2 linked regions of the Caenorhabditis elegans genome follow. The protein of the gene in region 2 purifies or fractionates together with the protein of the main gene of each other region. This does not show direct contact. Each region holds a gene or a part of one and is shown on either strand. Other genes may lie near its edges.

Region 1 (9,601 bases), on a different chromosome or scaffold from region 2:
TCCAGTGTGGGGTTCTCACAGTGTTTTTCATTAAAATTTAATGATAAAACAAAGAAAAATCTCATCTGAAAATACCTTTAGCTTGATTTGAAAAAACAGAAAAGTTTCTAACAATTGTCTGAAAGTTGAAAATTGTCTGTAATTTTTCCTGGCGATTTTTTGATTTTTTCAGCAATTTTCAACTTTCCAACGTTTCTCTGAATTATCTGAACGCTAATTAGTCATCAACAGAATGCATAAAATTCCAAATTTAGAATTAATCCTTTTCTGATACCGAGAAAAAATCCAAATTTTTGAAACAGAAACCCACAAAATTTCATAGTTTTCTGCCCGGTTATGTCTTCAAATAGATCTCTTCCTGTTTTACATCAAAAAATCTGTGTGACATAAATATTTTGTGGCTTCATTTGATACATTTTATTTCAATTTCAAAAAGAAATACGAGCTTGAACTCTATTTGGCTTCTTCTTCGTTTTTTCAGGCACGGGAACAAATTGAGTGTTTTTTTGCTTGTTTTGGGAAATAGACTAGATAAATGTCAGGAAGTGTTCCCATTTTTTTGAAGTCGAACGCTTTCAGGCGGTAAATGAACATTTATTAGGGGGGAATTTAGTTTTTTTTGGACGAGTTTTCGTTCGGATACAAAAAAATGTGTCTGAAAATATTTTGGCTGGAAATTATAATTATTAAATTTTTCTTCATATTTTCTACTTTGGTATGATATGCTTGATGTCTGTCTTATTTTTAGAGCAAATTATGTACTCATCAAGATGGGCCTGACCATTTCCCGCCCCCAGACTAGCGGGACTTTAAAATTCAATTAATTTTGGCGGGTGTTTTTTTTTCGCATCCAAAAATTATTTTGTTTCAACTAAATTGTATCAATTGTTCAAAAATCGGTTTGTGCCTGCCTGCCTGCCTGCCTACTTACCGGGCATGAGGTATGCCTAGGATAGATTAGCGTAGGTAGGCTTGCAGCGGGCGTAGGTAGGCATGAACCAGTTGAAACGTAAGCGTGAGATAGACAATAGGTATGAGGCACTTATAGGGCAAAGGGTGGGCCTAGAGTAGGCAAGAAGCAGGCATAGAGTAGGCGTAAGGCAGGTCATGCTTTGGCATGAGGCAGACGTCGGATAGGCTGAAAGCAAGCATAGGGTACGCATGAAGCAGGCGTTGAAGAGGTACCAGGCAGGCGTAGGCGCCTTGTAGGTAGGTAGGCATTGCACGACATGCCTGACGGAAGCTTGCTAGAAACAAGATTCATTGTGCCTTCTCTGTCAAGTCAAACCCCCCACAAATCACTCATTCCCCTTCTGTCTTCTAATCTCCTCTTCCAGTTGCTTCTTCTTCCCTATGACGTCATCATTGCTCAACATTAAACCACGCCCTCTTTTCTCCCTTTGCCTTCCCATCTTTCACACTTGAGACCTCTTGAGCCCCCTGGAGGGCTCAATAGTTTTTAAACTTTTTGCACGTTCTCTCATTTGACAAAAAATCAAAAATTTTGCAGAAACATGCTCCGTATACTTTTGGTCCTTTTGGTTGTGCTTGCCATTGTTCATGTAACCGTTCAATTTACATTGGAGAAGAGAGGTACGTATTTATGTGCAGGCGCCAAATGATGCCTTCATGCCATTTATTCATGCCTACCTACGAGCCTGCCTAGCACCTATTCTCTGTTTCTAGCTTGACATCAAAAATTAGATATAGGCCAGATTGAAGAATTTCCTTAATTTCAACTGAATTCCTTTGAAAGTAGCCAACTATGTAGGTGAAGGCAGGCGTAGGTTTTTTTTTTCCAGAAAAGTTTTGCCGGCTTTCGGACGCAAGTTCAGGAGCAAGAATCTTTGCTCCAATAATGAGATTAGTAAATTTGAAATCTTTGATGATTTGCATCCTAATTCACATTAAAAATAAATTTCCAGAGCTTTGACCAATTGCAAATATAGTGTCTTGGCGCAATACTAGTTTTCTATAGTGACGTCACATATTTTCAGCATAATAACTTTTTTACAAATTCCAGGAGCCGCTTGGTTCCTACGCCCCAACTGGAAGCCCCCAACAAAACGATTCTACTATCCAGATGGAGCTATCGCCGCAATTGCACCCAACGATTTCGATCAATACATCATTTATTGATTTATTTAAAGTTGATTTTTGCTTTTTTGAGTTTGGGAAACAATAAATGAGAGTTGATGTGTTTTTCTGGTTTTTATTAATTTACAAATTTAATTTTTGAACATGAAAATACAGCAGATTTAGAGTTTCTGAGCAGGCGTTAGGAATGGAGCCAACGCGTCTAGAGCCCATAAAATATTTGCACAAAATGCGTCGATATTCGATCGTGACGAGACCCAATCGGAGACGGCAACGGAGATTCTGAGGTGGTTTTTAATTAGCCTAAAAGCTTTTTTGGTGACATCTCACCTAGATTTGCCGATTCTATAGAAGCAACCGTAGCCGTCAGGTCGCATTGCAGCCACGTAGCCGAAAGTTCCCGGTTGATTCCCGTCCATGTAGCCGATGAAGCTGTAAATTGAGTTTTAGACCATGACCAAGGGAGCTAATTGGTCGGTGCCACGATGCACCATGACGCTCTTTGGCAAAAAGTCCTAGTGTTTAATTCGGTGCACTCCATAATGTACGTCTACATCAGGGGTGTGCGGCAAATCTCAAAATTTGCCGAGCTCGGCAAATTCGGCAAATTTGCCGTGCTTGACAAACTCGGAAAATTTTGATATTTTATGATGTTTTTTGGAGCACCGAAACTACAGAATTCTGAACAAAAAATTAGTTGCTGAATGAGTTCCGTGTAGTGTGTCTGCTTAAACATCAAAATAACTCAATTTGGTGTCATTTTACCAAATTTTTGCCGAAAAAATTAACAGTTTTGGTCAAAATTGTACTGTCAAATTTTTGACGTGTGCGGCAAATTTCGAAATCTGCCGAGCTCGGCAAATTCGGCAAATTTGCCGCACGTCCCTGGTCTACATAGAAGTTTGACATTGCGCAGGAGTTTTAGCTCACGCAAGACTACGCTATTACTACGCAGGAGTCCCACTTTAAATGTCGATGCACCATAACATTACAGTACACCTTGACATTTTTATCGATGCACCATGCACGTGGAGTGTTCATAATTATTAGAGTGCGCTCGCGCGGCACCTCACGAACTCCAGAATTCGCGGAAATTCGTTCCGCGGGGACAGCAGTTAGTTGCTATTTTAGGCTTCTATGAAAATTTTTTTAATTTTTTGATTTATGATATTCTTGAGAAGCATTATCCGAATTGAAAATGTGTAAAATTATGAAATTTGACCAAAAACTGACGGTTTTACAGAAAGGACGGTTTTACAGCAAGGTTTTCTTTAAAATGTATCAGTACCGTCAGTTTTTCGATTTCAGAGTCGTAAAATATGTCATTTTGTAGAGAAAAATCTGTTTCACAAAAATTTGCGCTTGAAAATTTAAAATTGTTTTTTTAATGTATTAAAAACTGAAAAATTTTAAAAATAAGATTTTAACGTAAAATTGTTGATTTTTTGAATATTTTTATATTATAAATTAGAGAATTAAAATTTCAAACATGGATTTTTGTGATACAGACTTTTCTCTATAAAATTACATATTTTACGACTCTGCAATCAAAAAACTGACGGTACTGATACATTTTGAAGAAAACCGTGGTGACTCCTTTCTGTAAAACCATCAGTTTTCGGTCAAATTTCATAATTTTACACATTTTCAATTCGGATGATGCTTCTAAACACTATTTTAAATCAAAAAATTAAAAATAATTTTCATAGAAGCCAAAAATAGCCAAAAACTGCTGTTCCCTCGAAACGAGTTCCCGCGAATTCTGGAGTTTGTGAGGTGGCGTGCGAGCGCGCTCTAATAATTATGAACACTCCAGGAGGCCGTGCCATGATATTTCAGCCCCCGTGACATTGCCGTCGACGCACCATGACAACCCGAACAATTCACAATTAATTTCTAGTCGATGCACCATGACCAGGACTTATGGTGCATCGACTTATAGTGCTCACTGTTTTTGTTCAGTTTTTAATTGCCAAACATAGGTGTTTTGGCAACATGAAAACTAAATTTATTATCTGTTTTCATACCATCCAATTTAAAACCAAACCTCGTGGAAAGCAGGAAATTCCCGTCTCCCCCCGTCCTCTTCCACGTGTCATCTCGCAAAAATTCGGGTGCTTGACGCTTTGGGCCACATCCTTTGTTCATGATGGACAGTGTTAACTTCAAACCCATGAGATGTCGGTCAAAACCTGAAAATTCTAGTCTAACAAGTCTTCGAAGGATTTTCAGTACCTCTTCCATCCATACAGTCGGCCATGAGCTGGTTATGAGCATTGATGGCTGAGTCGAAGAGCTTCTTGAGATCCTCTTTCTCGTTCTGAATAGTTTTTCTTAGTCAGGGTTTCAATGCAATCTTGCTCTACCGCTACCGTTTGATCTCCCAGGAGCGCCTTCGCAAATCTGACAAACTGCGACGTACACCCACGCACGGTTTCAGTTCTGCCGTGGAAGAATTTACGGGTTGATGCGGTCTCGTAGATCGGAGCAAAGCTTCCGTGAGTCTTCAAAAACGCCAACTGAAGAGCCAACTGAACTACAGTATCCGTGTAGACTTTGGCAGTCCGGCACAGCTCGTTACCGTACCCATGGTGATGGACGCCGCGCGCTCGGTACAGTTGCTTCTGGAATTTTTAACATTTTTAGTGACTGGAGACACAGGGAAAGTCACTTACACTCTTGTAAAACTCCACATCTGCAAACGAAATTGCGTGTCTGAGCGGCTCATTGAACTCGAAGATTAGGCGTTCCGGAAATTCAAAGTGCAGGTCGGATCCTGTTTTGGCAGGGTGCCAAAGCTGCTTTCGAACACGAGAAGCCACGTAGTCACCAACTTGAAGGAGAACTATAGCATCAATGTTGGAGTGCTGAAAAAGTGGGGTTTAGGCGTAGGCTTAGGCTTGGGCTTGTGCTTAGGCTTAGGCTCAGCCTAAAGCTTAGGATCAGGCTTAAGCCTAGACTTAGGCGTAGGCTCAGGCCTACTTACATCTCCTTGAACCATCACTTGTGCGTCTTCATAAATAGTAATATTCACTGATTTATCCTGCCAGACAAACCAACTCTCGTCTTGAAGAGCATTTGACATGAGCTGGAATTATTTCTTCATTAGTATCTGTGGCAAAAAATGAAATCCCAAACCTTCTGCTGATCATCTCCACCCTTTTTTGGTACCATTGACAGAAACAAAATGCTCGTTTCAACTGCTCTTACATATTCTATATTCGCTGAGCTCACACGGAGCAGCTCGTCGCGGTTCTGGAAATCAGGATTTCGGACTAAAAATGAGCTGGAAGTCAGCTTACCAAGCTCCAAACGTCTCGATTCGTAGTTGTAAGCTTGCTGACACAGCACGAAGACTCGTCCGATGAGTTGTCTCTTACGAATTTCAGCATCTGTAATTATTTAATGTGTGCTCCACAATTAGAGCACTTTAGCTCACGTTATAAATCTCATCTGGGCTCTTGATGGTGTCATCGTCCTCATTTAAAATGTTTAACTTCCAAAAACACCCGTCACAACAAATAATTACATGAGTTGGTGTATCTCCTTCCTCTTCTGAAAAAAAAGTTAATTTTACAGGAACAAAATGCACATTTTTTGCACAGTTTTGCACAGTTTTTGCACATTTTTTGAAGCATTTTTGCACATTTTTGCACATTTGCTGAAAATTTGAAAATTGATCCATTCTAATTTATCTTGTGCTGGTGGCCGCGTAAATGAGAAACTCGGCCATCAAATTTTCCTTTGCGGTCACGTGGCAAAGTCCAAAGTCCCGCAAACTTTGGAATGACAACAATAAAACACAGTAATGGTCAACACCGCCGACATGTGTTTTATTATCTTATCACTCTTATCACACTCTTGCAAGCAATCAAATTGCTCGTAATTTCACACCTAAAAAATTTGAGCTGTTTTTCATAGGAACAATAAAAATCAGCGGCTGAAATTTTTAAGCATTCCAAGAATCAAAAATGTCAAAAAAAAAGAAAGATTTTTTTAGATTTTTGTGAAGCTGGATTTCTAGTGAGCAGATACGCAGAGAGACAGCCAAGGTTTTAGATTTCTAGGCCACGTCCGGATAGAAAATGGAAGATTAACCTACTTGTCTTAAAATACCGATCCATAGTGTCTCTTGTCCTCTGTGGTGTACGATTCGACGAGAATAAGTGATGGAATTGCTGCATATCCCACGTCACTCCGCGTGATGACGTCACTGGCCATTTTCCGCTAGAAATAATTTTTCTTTCGTCATGCCAGGATTTTTAGAAAATATAAACTCTCACTGTCGAACTTTATCCCATACACTAAGCCAATGATGAAGGACATCAGCGGCACGGCTCACTTGTCCTCCATCCACACAGTTGTACGCAGTGTTCATTGCTCCAAATGAGACATATGGAGCCAGGGGCTCACGGATCTCGGTGTAGGCGTTGTACCACCAGTCCTCAAGCTGTAAGTTGTTGGATCAGCTTTTTTTAGTTAAAATTTTTGGTTTATTTTAAAAAGCAGCCAAGGTATTTAAAATCGTCAACTTCGGCAGGCCATATCTCGGTTGAATTTGGTTTTAACAAAAAATTGTAAACTGACAACTTGTTTAAAATTTCGATTTCTATAATTTTGTAGTTGAAACTTTAGTTTTATCTTCAAAATTAAGAAAGATATAAGGGTTTTAAGATGGTGTGCTCATGGTGCATCGATCACCTTTTCTCAACTTTGACAGCCCGGGTGAAGTTTATTTTAGTAAAGTAGGCTTAGGCTCAGGCTAACGTTGAAGTTTAGGCCTAAACATAGGCTTGCGCATAGGCCCAGGCTTAGGTTTGGGCTTAAGTATAGGCTCAGGCACAGGCCTAGGCTTCGGCCTACTTACATCTCCAACGAGTAAAAACAATTTCTTACCCAATTCTTATGATTCTTTGCTCGATTCTCTAAAGCCGACTGCAGCTGAGCTCCGAGCTCCGAGTGCTGGAATTCATGAGCTTCTTTCTCGACACGCGCCTTCTCGGCAGGAGTCAGAATTGCCGAAGCTGAAAAATTACAACTGGTGGCCGAGTTTTCTCGCGGCCGCGGGGTACCTGAATCAATGTACTTCTCTAAAGTCTCCACTAAAGATGGAACCGGAAGACTCGGAAGTTGGTCTTGACGCGAAAATGTCGACATTTGATACGATCTGAAAGTTATTTGATATTTTTAAATTTAGTGGGGTGTTTAGTGCAATGGAGCGCGGTTGCATCTGTACATTTTTCAAAATAGCCTTAGGCCCGGCTAATTTCTAGGCTTAGGCTTATGGGTAGGTTTAGGCTTGGGCTGAGGCTTAGGCCTCGGTTAGACTTGGGTTTAGTCTTAGTTTTAGACTTAGTCTTAGGTTTAGATTTAGTCTTAGGCTTGGGCTAGGTTTAGGTTTAGGCTCCGGTTTAGGCTTAATTCTAAGCTCAAGCTTAGGCAAAAACAGTGAAAAATGGAATTTTTTGTTTATCCTCGATTTATATCACGAATGGCACATATCGTTTTGGGTCTCGCCACGATCTCCAGAGCTACAGTACCCCAAAATCTTCAAAAATTAGAAGAAAAAATATTGCAAAACAACAAAAAAAACATTGAAACCCAAAAATCGTGTCCCGCTGAAAGAAACAAATAAATTGGCAGCGATCTTTCTCGTCCGTGTAGAAGGCGTGTGATGATCCTGTGTGTGTGTGTTGTCTGCGTCTCCACAGTTCCCCGTACTCTCTCTCCCTCTCTAACTAGTCATGTAGGGGTTGAGGGACTGACTGACAGACTATATTGTGGCCTTTATCACGTTGATTTATGTAGTACTAGGGGTATCGCTAATGAATTATGGGGTTCAATTAATGGGGATGCACTTATGGGGCGAATTTTAATTTTGGAATTAAAATTGAAAATTTCAAAAAACGTTTTTCTTAAAATTCCAACTTTTCCAAAAGCTAGGTAAAAAACTAGTAAACAAAAAAAATTTGAAAATTCTGATAAAAAGTGAAATTTAGGGAAGAGGCTGGGGGTGGGTCAATGTGCATAAAAACGTGATAAGGCTCTGTGTTGGTGTACCCAAATGTAGACTACACTATGCACTTTTAAGGTCAGAGAATTGGTAGGTGGAGTTGAAATGCGAAAAAAGTTTACCAGAAGAACTCGAGGATAATATTTCAGATTGATAAAAATCTTAATTTTTGCGGACAAAAAATTTTGGATGAAGTAAGGTGCGAGGGGGGCGAAAAAAAGAATAAATAAAATACAATTACACACAAAAGTGGGGAAATCGACTCGCGATGACAGTATAGAGTAGCCAGGGGAAAAGGGGAAATTGATATTATCCAGACGCGAAAATTTGGCCGAAAAATACGGGTCTCAGCACGACAATTTTTGTTGCATGCAAAAAAATGTGTGCGCCTTTAAAAATTACTGTAATTTAAAACTTTTGTGGTGGAACCATGAGAAATCATTGAAAATCCCGCCGAGAAAAAAGTTTGAAACTACAGTACCGAGACCGTATTTTTTACGCAAAATTCAAAAGTCCGGTAGACAAAAACGAAAAAAAAAATGGGTAAAAGGGGAATATACTGTAACTATGTATAATTACACACAAAAATATAGAATTATCGGCGCGGGCGGGGGGAACACAAAAAAAAACGATATAATTATGCAGTTTCCATTGGAGTGTCGTAGACCACCGCGCGTTGAGACTCCTTGAGCACATCGTTGGCGAGAGCCTGAAAAGGAATGCAAATTATTTACTGGGACTGGGTTTTTTTTCGATTTTTCACCGTTTTTTCGGGAAAAAAATTCAAATTTTCAATAATTTCGTATTCTCATCAAATTTGATAAATTTTTGATAAAACTTCAATTTTTCAATTTTCAAAAAAAAAAAGGAAAATTTTAATTTGTCTTTTGAGTAGTTTTTGTCGACTGCGGCGCGGTTGATCTTGTCGATTTACGACGGCCGCCGTGTACTGTCGTGTAATTTTGAATTTATTTTTTCGCACACGATTTAAGACAGTTTTTGGGCAGAAATTCCCTAATTTCTATATTTTTGCTTTTTTTTTTAGAATTCCCCATATATGCAATTTTCAGCGTTTCTGTCGAAATTTTGCGTCAAAACTACGGTACCTGGTCTCGAAACGACAAATATTTTGTAGATCACAAACGGGTGTGCCTTTAATAAGGATTACCGTAATTTCAAACTTTCGTTGCTACTGGGGGAATTTTCATCGATTTTCCTCATTTTTTCAACGAAAAACAATGAAAATCGATAAAAAATTTTGTTTCATCCGGAGTAACAAAAGTTTTAAACCACAGTAATCCTTAAAGGCGCACACCCGTTTGTATTTTACAAAAAATTGTCGTTTCGAGACCTATGGTACCGTACTTTGGCACAAAATTTCGCATATTTTGACAATTTTCAATGTTCATTTTTAAAAAAGTGTGAAGACGGGAATTTCAGCCAAAAACTGTAAATTCGCGCGAGAAAAAACAGAATTCACAATTCTCAAAA
Region 2 (8,170 bases):
GAAAAATTTGAATTTTCCGCAAAAAATCGATGTTTTGAAGTTTTTCTCAATAGAGCGCATTTTCACCAGCGAAAAATTTGAATTTTTCGCCAAAAATCGATTTTTTGAAGTTTTTCTCAATAGAGCGCATTTTCAACAGCGAAAAAATTGAATTTTTCGCCAAAAATCGATTTTTTGAAGTTTTTCTCAACAGAGCGCGATTACACCAGCGAAAAATTTGAATTTTCCGCAAAAAATCGATGTTTTGAAGTTTTTCTCAATAGAGCGCATTTTCACCAGCGAAAAATTTGAATTTTTCGCCAAAAATCGATTTTTTGAAGTTTTTCTCAATAGAGCGCATTTTCAACAGCGAAAAAATTGAATTTTTCGCCAAAAATCGATTTTTTGAAGTTTTTCTCAACAGAGCGCGATTACACCAGCGAAAAATTTGAATTTTCCGCAAAAAATCGATGTTTTGAAGTTTTTCTCAATAGAGCGCATTTTCACCAGCGAAAAATTTGAATTTTTCGCCAAAAATCGATTTTTTGAAGTTTTTCTCAATAGAGCGCATTTTCAACAGCGAAAAAATTGAATTTTCCGCCAAAAATCGATTTTTTGAAGTTTTTCTCAATAGAGCGCATTTTCAACAGCGAAAAAATTGAATTTTCCGCCAAAAATCGATTTTTTGAAGTTTTTCTCAATAGAGCGCATTTTCACCAGCGAAAAACCGATTTTTCTATTTAAATTTTTTCCAGAAAATTCGCCCTCCAAACCGGCCGAACCTACGTGATGGCAACCATCAAAAATCGCCAAAAATCGTCGGCTCAATGGCTCCGTTGCGAGATTATCGATTTTTTGCCGAACGCCAACGTGGCTCTTCGCTACGTGGATCTGGGAACACGTGGCATCCTGAAGCTCAAAAATTTGCACCGAATGCACATTGAGCACACAAAAATCGCGCCGGCTTGCATTGAAATTGGCCGATTTCTCGACGACGATTTATCGATGGCCGACAGCGAAATGGAGTGGAATACACATTTTTGGCGTGAAATTGTACCCTATGACGTGCCGATCGTTGTCGGACCCGATATGGGTGAGAAATTTACGGATTTCTCTCTGGAAAAGCGACAAAAATGCAATTTTTGCATGTTCCTGTGCGCTCCATTGATAATTTTACCCGAAATCACAGAATTTTACCAAAACTTCACTATTTAACTCAAAAATTCAAATTTCGCGCCGAGAACACCTGAAATTTTGGTTTTTTAACTGAAAAATTCGAAATTTTCATGGGATTTCGCCGATTTTGCAAAATTTCAAATTTCCCGCGCCGGCGGCCTCGTGTCCCAAATGCGCTCCATTGACAAAAATTCTCCTGCGGAACAATTCGATCGATTTTCAGGGGAAAATGCGCTCCATAGCTAATTCGCGCGAATTTTCGTCAAAAATCGATAATTCCCATGTGCGGAATATATCGGAGCATCGTAAAAATCAATAATTTTCCAATCATTTCAGAATTCCTGGAAACCGGCAAACTGCAATTCTCGCAGATTCGGGTCGCCGGCGACGAAGACGACGAAAATTTGCTCGATAAAATCCCGTCGCCGTCGCCGTTTTTCACTGAACGATCCGACGATTTACGTACCCAGAAAGAGGATGATGATGATGGAAATGTTAGCGACGATAAGGATAGCGGATGATTTTATTGATTTTTTCGCATTTCTCCCGTGAAAAATTGCAAAAAAAAAATCGATAATCCACTTGCCCGAGAGGAGTACAAAATCGATAACATAATTTTTTCCTGTTTTTTGTCATGTATTTTATAATATCGATCTCCTCCTCGTTTTAACGATCTGTTTGTTTTACGTGAACGTGTTAAATTATCGATTTTTTACGATAAAAATCAATAAATCAATATTTATTCCAATGGAACAAGCAGACACGTGTATTTTCCAGCGATTAGCGTAGTTTTCATATCTTCCGAAAGTGGGTCATCGGATTGTTGTGGCTGGATTACGAATGTTGGGATCTGGAAATTATCGATTTTTTGGTAGAAAATAAATACTTTTAGTGAAAATTTTGAAAATTTTGACCAGGCGTAGGTTTAGGCTTGGGCTTAGGCTGAGTCAGGCTTAGGGCTTAGGCTTGGTGTCAGTGACGAGCGTGAGCTCTCGACAACCAACTCGACAACCAAACCGGGATTAAGTTGAAATACTTCCCTTGTTAGGAACAAACCCAATTTGAATAAATCATAGGAAATCCCCCCAATCCGACAAGCCTAAGGGCCCGAAAAACATACTAGGATTCGGGCCCTTAGGCTTGTCGGATTGGGGATTTCCTATGATTTATTCAAATTGGGTTTGTTCCTAAGTCTAAATAACCCTTTTTCTTTTCTTTTGCGCTCCAAGCGCAAGGAAAAACCTTCTTGTAGACTTTTTAAGAGGGTTTCTTATATTTTATTAAAATCGGTTAGGCTTGGGAAACTACAAAAAATTGAAAATAAAATTCTAGATCTAAAAATTGCAGTTTTCTCTCTGGATTTCTCAAGGCTTCTGGACAATATTCATGAACACTCTGGCATTTTTTTGCCATTTCCGGCTCTGTCGGCGAATAGTTTTTTCGGCAACGATGGCTCAATTCGCCACTTGTTTTATGTCTGGGTGCTCTATTATAGGTTCCATATGTTTTACCCCATCCACTGAAATGAATTAAAATAGAGAAATTCCCTATTTTGGAAAAAAAAGCTCGATCGATATATACACCGTTTTCCCGTTTGCGGTTCGCCTTTCCCGTCATGACGGGGGAGGCGATGACGTGCATATCGTCCTCGCTCGTCTCTTCTACGATCGATAGGTGTTCCCAGTAACCTGCATTCTTTCCACTGCAACTAGCGGAACCCGTGAGTTGTCCGTATATCCAGAAGATGACCTCCCTTCATATTGTTGTCCCACTATCTGTCAGGGTCCTGCGAAAGCGAATCTCTGGCCTGGCGGAGGGCCAACTAACTCTCTCCCTCAAGCCTTCGGGTGCTTCCTGGGTTATCGGTGAATTTTTGGGATCTGCCAGGGACCTGCGAAAGCAAATCTCTGGCCTGACGGAGGGCCAGCTAACTCTCTCCCTTAAGCCTTCGGGTGCTTCCTGGGTTATCGGTGAATTTTTGGGTCTGTCAGGGTCCTGCGAAAGCGAATCTCTGGCCTGGCGGAGGGCCAACTAACTCTCTCCCTCAAGCCTTCGGGTGCTTCCTGGGTTATCGGTGAATTTTTGGGTCTGTCAGGGTCCTGCGAAAGCGAATCTCTGGCCTGGCGGAGGGCCAACTAACTCTCTCCCTCAAGCCTTCGGGTGCTTCCTGGGTTATCGGTGAATTTTTGGGTCTGTCAGGGTCCTGCGAAAGCGAATCTCTGGCCTGGCGGAGGGCCAACTAACTCTCTCCCTCAAGCCTTCGGGTGCTTCCTGGGTTATCGGTGAATTTTTGGGTCTGTCAGGGTCCTGCGAAAGCGAATCTCTGGCCTGGCGGAGGGCCAACTAACTCTCTCCCTCAAGCCTTCGGGTGCTTCCTGGGTTATCGGTGAATTTTTGGGTCTGTCAGGGTCCTGCGAAAGCGAATCTCTGGCCTGGCGGAGGGCCAACTAACTCTCTCCCTCAAGCCTTCGGGTGCTTCCTGGGTTATCGGTGAATTTTTGGGTCTGTCAGGGTCCTGCGAAAGCGAATCTCTGGCCTGGCGGAGGGCCAACTAACTCTCTCCCTCAAGCCTTCGGGTGCTTCCTGGGCTATCGGTGAATTTTGGGCGGTCGTTGTTGGGTGCCGCATGTCTTCGACCCTCGCTAAGTTTGAGGGAGCCGGGTAAAACCGCACGTTCGAATGTTCTCTAACCCAACTCGAGCTTCGGGGCTTGCGGGCTAGGTCTGCCTAGGATAGGCTAGGTCTGCCTAGGATAGGCTAGGGCTGCCTAGGGTAGGCTAAGTCTGCCTAGGGTAGGCTAAGTCTGCCTAGGGTAGGCTAAGTCTGCCTAGGGTAAGCTAGGGCTGCCTAGGGTAGGCTAAGTCTGCCTAGGGTAGGCTAAGTCTGCCTAGGGTAGGCTAAGTCTGCCTAGGGTAGGCTAGGGCTGCATAGGGTAGGCTAGGGGCTGGCTAGGGCTGGCTAGGGCTGCCTAGGGCTGCCTAGGGGCTGGCTAGGGCTGCCTAGGGGCTGGCTAGGGCTGCCTAGGGTAGGCTAGGGCTGCTTAGGGTAGGCTAGGGCTGCCTAGGGTAGGCTAGGGCTGCCTAGGGTAGGCTAGGTCTGCCAAGGGTAGGCTAGGGCTGCCTATGGTAGGGTAGGTCTGCCTAGGGGGCTGGCTAGGGCTGCCTAGGGGGCTGGCTAGGGCTGCCTAGGGGCTGGCTGCCTAGGGGCTGGCTAGGGCTGCCTAGGGGCTGGCTAGGGTAGGCTTCAACTTAGGCAGTATAAGTCTTCAGGTATAAGATGGAAAAATGGGATTTTTTTTTTCAATTTTTGACCGCGAATTTGTTACCTTAGTCTCCGGTTCACCGAAGATACTCTTATTCCACCAATCGGTCTCATTGATTCCTGAAAATTTGATGAAAATCATCTTTTTGTGTATTTTTCCAATCAATAGTTCCTCGCGATTCTTGTAATTTTTCCAAATTTGTTTGGCGGCGAGTACCGTTGGTTTGATGCCGGAAACTATGATTGAGAATCTGGAAAATTATCGATTTTTTTGTTCAAAATTATTGATTTTCTCTCCCACCTGTCTCTGCTAACTTTTTCCCTATCGATACCCTCGCAAATTAGCTCAAATTTCATCGAATTTCCGGCTTTAACAATTGCAAAAGTGGGCAATGTGTTGAAAATCCCGGACCGTGTGGATTTAAATTTCACCAGAAGATCCATTGATTCATTGTTTTGAATTTCGATTGGAATTTCTTGTTTTCGTGGTTCCGCGTCGAATGTTACCTGGATAATTGACAAAAATTTCGAGTTTCCGTAACACCGCAACGGCGCTCCATTGAGAAAAATCGATAGAACTTTAAAACTCACCGATTCCGACGGATTAAAGTGCACATTTTTCAATTCCACATCGCTATCCATTGAGAAATGATTGGAATTATCGATTTTTTAGAATAAAGGAAAAGAAATGAAGGAAAAAACAAATACTTAGATTTTAACGTTTATTTAAATTTAAATTTTTTACAAAAAAAAAAAAGAAAATTGTATAAAAAATCAATAATTATGAGTTCTCAGGAGCTCCGTAACCACCGCCACCCGGAGTTTCGATGCATAAAATATCCTGAAAATTTGAAAAATTATCGATTTTTTCAAAACAATTCGTCAAAAATCGAATTTGGTTTTTTTTTTTTGGAATTAATTATCGATTTATTGAACGTTATTTCAGGAGTAAAATTGGGAATTTACTTTGGAGTTTTTCGGAAAAAAATTGCAAAAACTATCGATTTTTCAAGTTTCCAGTAAAATATCGATTTTCCCGCTAAACTCACCCCTTTTTGAATTTCAAAACTCGCTTTCGACCCAATATTTACAGCTCTTCCACCTCGTTTCAGCAAATTCAGACCTCGTTGTCCGGGCTGACCGCCGTGAAGCCCATACGGTTGGAATGCGCTGAAAAACCAACAAATCAATCAGTAGAGCGCGATAGCAACACGCGCTCGATGCGAACTTCAAATTTTAAGCTCAAAGATCATCCAAATCTATGGGTTTCTTATTGGAGCACACATACAACGTGCAGTCGGCGAAACTTGAATTGCCTGCTCAAAAACGTTCAAAGTTCTTCTGAAATGATCGTCGTAAAAAATCATAAAATCAGCTAATTTCTCAATGGAGCGCACTAGTAACAAGCGGTCGGCGCAAAATTTGAATTTTTAATTTTTAGCTTGAAAATCTTCATAATCAAGTGTTTTTCGTTTCAATGGAGCGCACTTACCGTCTCTCAGTCAGCAGACTCAATGTGAGCTTTCTCGTAAACTCCAACTGCCTCACAACTCCATCACCGCCCTCCCATTTTCCACTTCCACCGGATCCATCTCTCAATTTCCATTCCCGAAGTATCACCGGGAACCTGTTCTCCAAAATCTCAGGATCCGTGATTCTTGTGTTCGTCATGTGCGTATGCACTCCACTTCGTCCGTGGAACCCGTTGCCGGCGCCGGCACCGCCGGCAATCGTCTCGTAGTAACCGCAAGTCTCGTCGCCGAACACCAAGTTGTTCATGCATCCTTGACTGGCGGCGACAATGTCAAATGTCTAGATAAATCGATAATTTTAGTTTAGAATTTTGGAAGAAATCGATAATTTTTTTCGAAATTGTTTCGAATTTATTTTTAAAAATTGTTGATTTTTTGTTGAAAAATTGTTGAGTTTAAAAAAATTATAATAGTTCCGAAAAATCGACAATAGAATTCCAAAAAAAAAAAATCCGATACAAACTCCACAGAAATCGATAATTACCGGCAAAAACTTTCAAAAAAAGATAAATTCGATAATTTTTTGGGAATATTAAAAATCGATAATTTTCAATAATTTTTATGTCTCCTAAAAATCGATAATCAAATTTCCCACCTTAAAAATGACATCACAAAGTCTCTGGCTAGTCAGCACATTTCCAGCTACAACCGGGGCAGTTTCCGACGGCGACAGCAGTGTTCCCTCGGGGATCTTTATCTGAATCGGCGCCAAGCATCCGTTATTCAGCGGGATATCCTTCTCGACAAGACATCTCAAACAATAAGTGACCGCCGACATGGTGACTGCTCTCGGAGCATTACAAGAGCTATACGACTCTGGACCAGTACCCGTGAAGTCGAAAATCGCAGTACCCTCCTCTGAATCGATATCTACAGTCAGCTTGATCACTGTTCCATCATCCATAAAGTCTTCCCCAGATAGCTGACTTTTGCCGGTTTTCTCCAGAACCTTCCGTCCAACTTTTTTGAGCATTTCCCTGACACAAAGCTCAGCAGTGTTTTGGATATGTTGCATGTACGCGTGCACAACGTCAAGGGAGTATTCCTCGATGAGACTTGTAACTAGTTGGATTCCCTGGAAAATTTCACATGATGTAATCAAAAAAAAATTGATCTACAAAAGTACAGAAAACATCTAAAAACTTTTTTAGCTATTCGACTATTTCTTGGTTATACCTAAGCTGGTCGAGATAAAGGCTTTTGAAGTTGATCGTCAGCATCATGTCGTCCAAACTTTGACAGTTTATATCTCTGCCAGATTTGAAGCTATCAAGAAGTGATCAAATGCAAACTTATGCAAAAAGAAATATTAAATATTTTGTTAGTTGAAATTTTTTTGATAACATCAAAGACAACCGAGATATAAGCTGCCAAAGTAGAGCAATGGTAGATTACCAAAAAATTACCTTCCGATTGGCAGCGATCTGTGCATTCAAGTCGGCAATATTGTCACTGATATTTCTGGCCGCCGAGCATCCGGGCACTTTTCCAGGGGCTTTAAGAGCATCGATTAGGCGCTGCTCTTGGAAAACTCCTTCATCCACTAGTTTGAAGGAGATGAATGAAGCTCCTTCCTGGAAATTTATAAATTTTTAGCAAAATCTAGGTTAGATTCTAAAATTTTCACATGAAACTCCACACTCCTAGTGGGATCCAATTTCTATTAGGACCCTATAATATCAAGCTAGGTTCCCTCAAATCTCACAGGAATCCTCTAATTTACATTAAAGATCCTTCCACTTTTAACTAGGTTCCTTCAGCGTCTTCTAGGATCTTTTCGCTTTGCCTAGGATATTTCATTTCGTCTTCCGATCCTTCAAAGCTCTAATAGAATCTTTCAATTCATACTAGGATCTTTCAGTATTTACCTAGATTCCGTCCAATTTCATGGAAATCCTTTCATTCACTCCAGGATCTTCCAACTTGTTTTCTAATCCACTAGGCCTTACTGAAATCCTTTCATAACATTTATGATCCTTCATGTCTATCTAAGTTTTTTTCAATTCCTACTAGGCTTCTTCAGCTCCTTCTCTGAACTTTCAACTCCGCCTAGACTCCTGCTGTGATCTCTAGGATCCTAAACGTATTCTTCCGATCCTTCCAAGCCCTATCAGGATCCTCCAGGCCCTCCTAGGAACCTTCAGTTCCGGCCCTTACCTGATCTATATGATGTGCATTTGGTGGCATGCTCCCCGGCACCAGACCCCCAATATCCGCATGAT

What was found. Proteins that work in one complex are often made in the same cells at the same time.
Region 1: the proteins of Y38F2AR.10 (region 2) and T20B3.1 fractionate together in Caenorhabditis elegans (co-fractionation; one large-scale study listed by BioGRID). This does not show direct contact.

What each region holds. Positions count from the first base shown.
Region 1 is NC_003283.11:16,813,230-16,822,830, reverse strand, and holds T20B3.1 (Choline/carnitine acyltransferase domain-containing protein), read right to left. Parts: upstream 7,271-9,601; 5' UTR 7,255-7,270; coding exon 7,170-7,254; intron 7,122-7,169; coding exon 6,994-7,121; intron 6,548-6,993; coding exon 6,381-6,547; intron 6,325-6,380; coding exon 6,200-6,324; intron 5,653-6,199; coding exon 5,537-5,652; intron 5,490-5,536; coding exon 5,400-5,489; intron 5,353-5,399; coding exon 5,236-5,352; intron 5,186-5,235; coding exon 5,084-5,185; intron 4,965-5,083; coding exon 4,773-4,964; intron 4,722-4,772; coding exon 4,464-4,721; intron 4,418-4,463; coding exon 4,333-4,417; intron 4,290-4,332; coding exon 4,145-4,289; intron 2,530-4,144; coding exon 2,428-2,529; intron 2,380-2,427; coding exon 2,259-2,379; 3' UTR 2,140-2,258; downstream 1-2,139. Other genes in the region: T20B3.14 (Neuropeptide-Like Protein), read left to right, coding at 1,515-1,593, 2,024-2,139; cand-1 (Cullin-associated NEDD8-dissociated protein 1), read right to left, coding at 8,748-8,819.
Region 2 is NC_003282.8:2,394,363-2,402,532, forward strand, and holds Y38F2AR.10 (Major sperm protein), read right to left. Parts: upstream 5,159-8,170; 5' UTR 5,059-5,158; coding exon 5,008-5,058; intron 4,924-5,007; coding exon 4,718-4,923; intron 4,668-4,717; coding exon 4,481-4,667; intron 4,400-4,480; exon of another isoform or gene 4,290-4,399; intron 2,006-4,289; coding exon 1,895-2,005; 3' UTR 1,879-1,894; downstream 1-1,878. Other genes in the region: eri-5 (Tudor domain-containing protein), read left to right, coding at 735-1,072, 1,492-1,676; Y38F2AR.12 (5-oxoprolinase), read right to left, coding at 5,198-5,257, 5,466-5,586, 5,909-6,228, 6,544-7,023, 7,355-7,522, 8,106-8,170.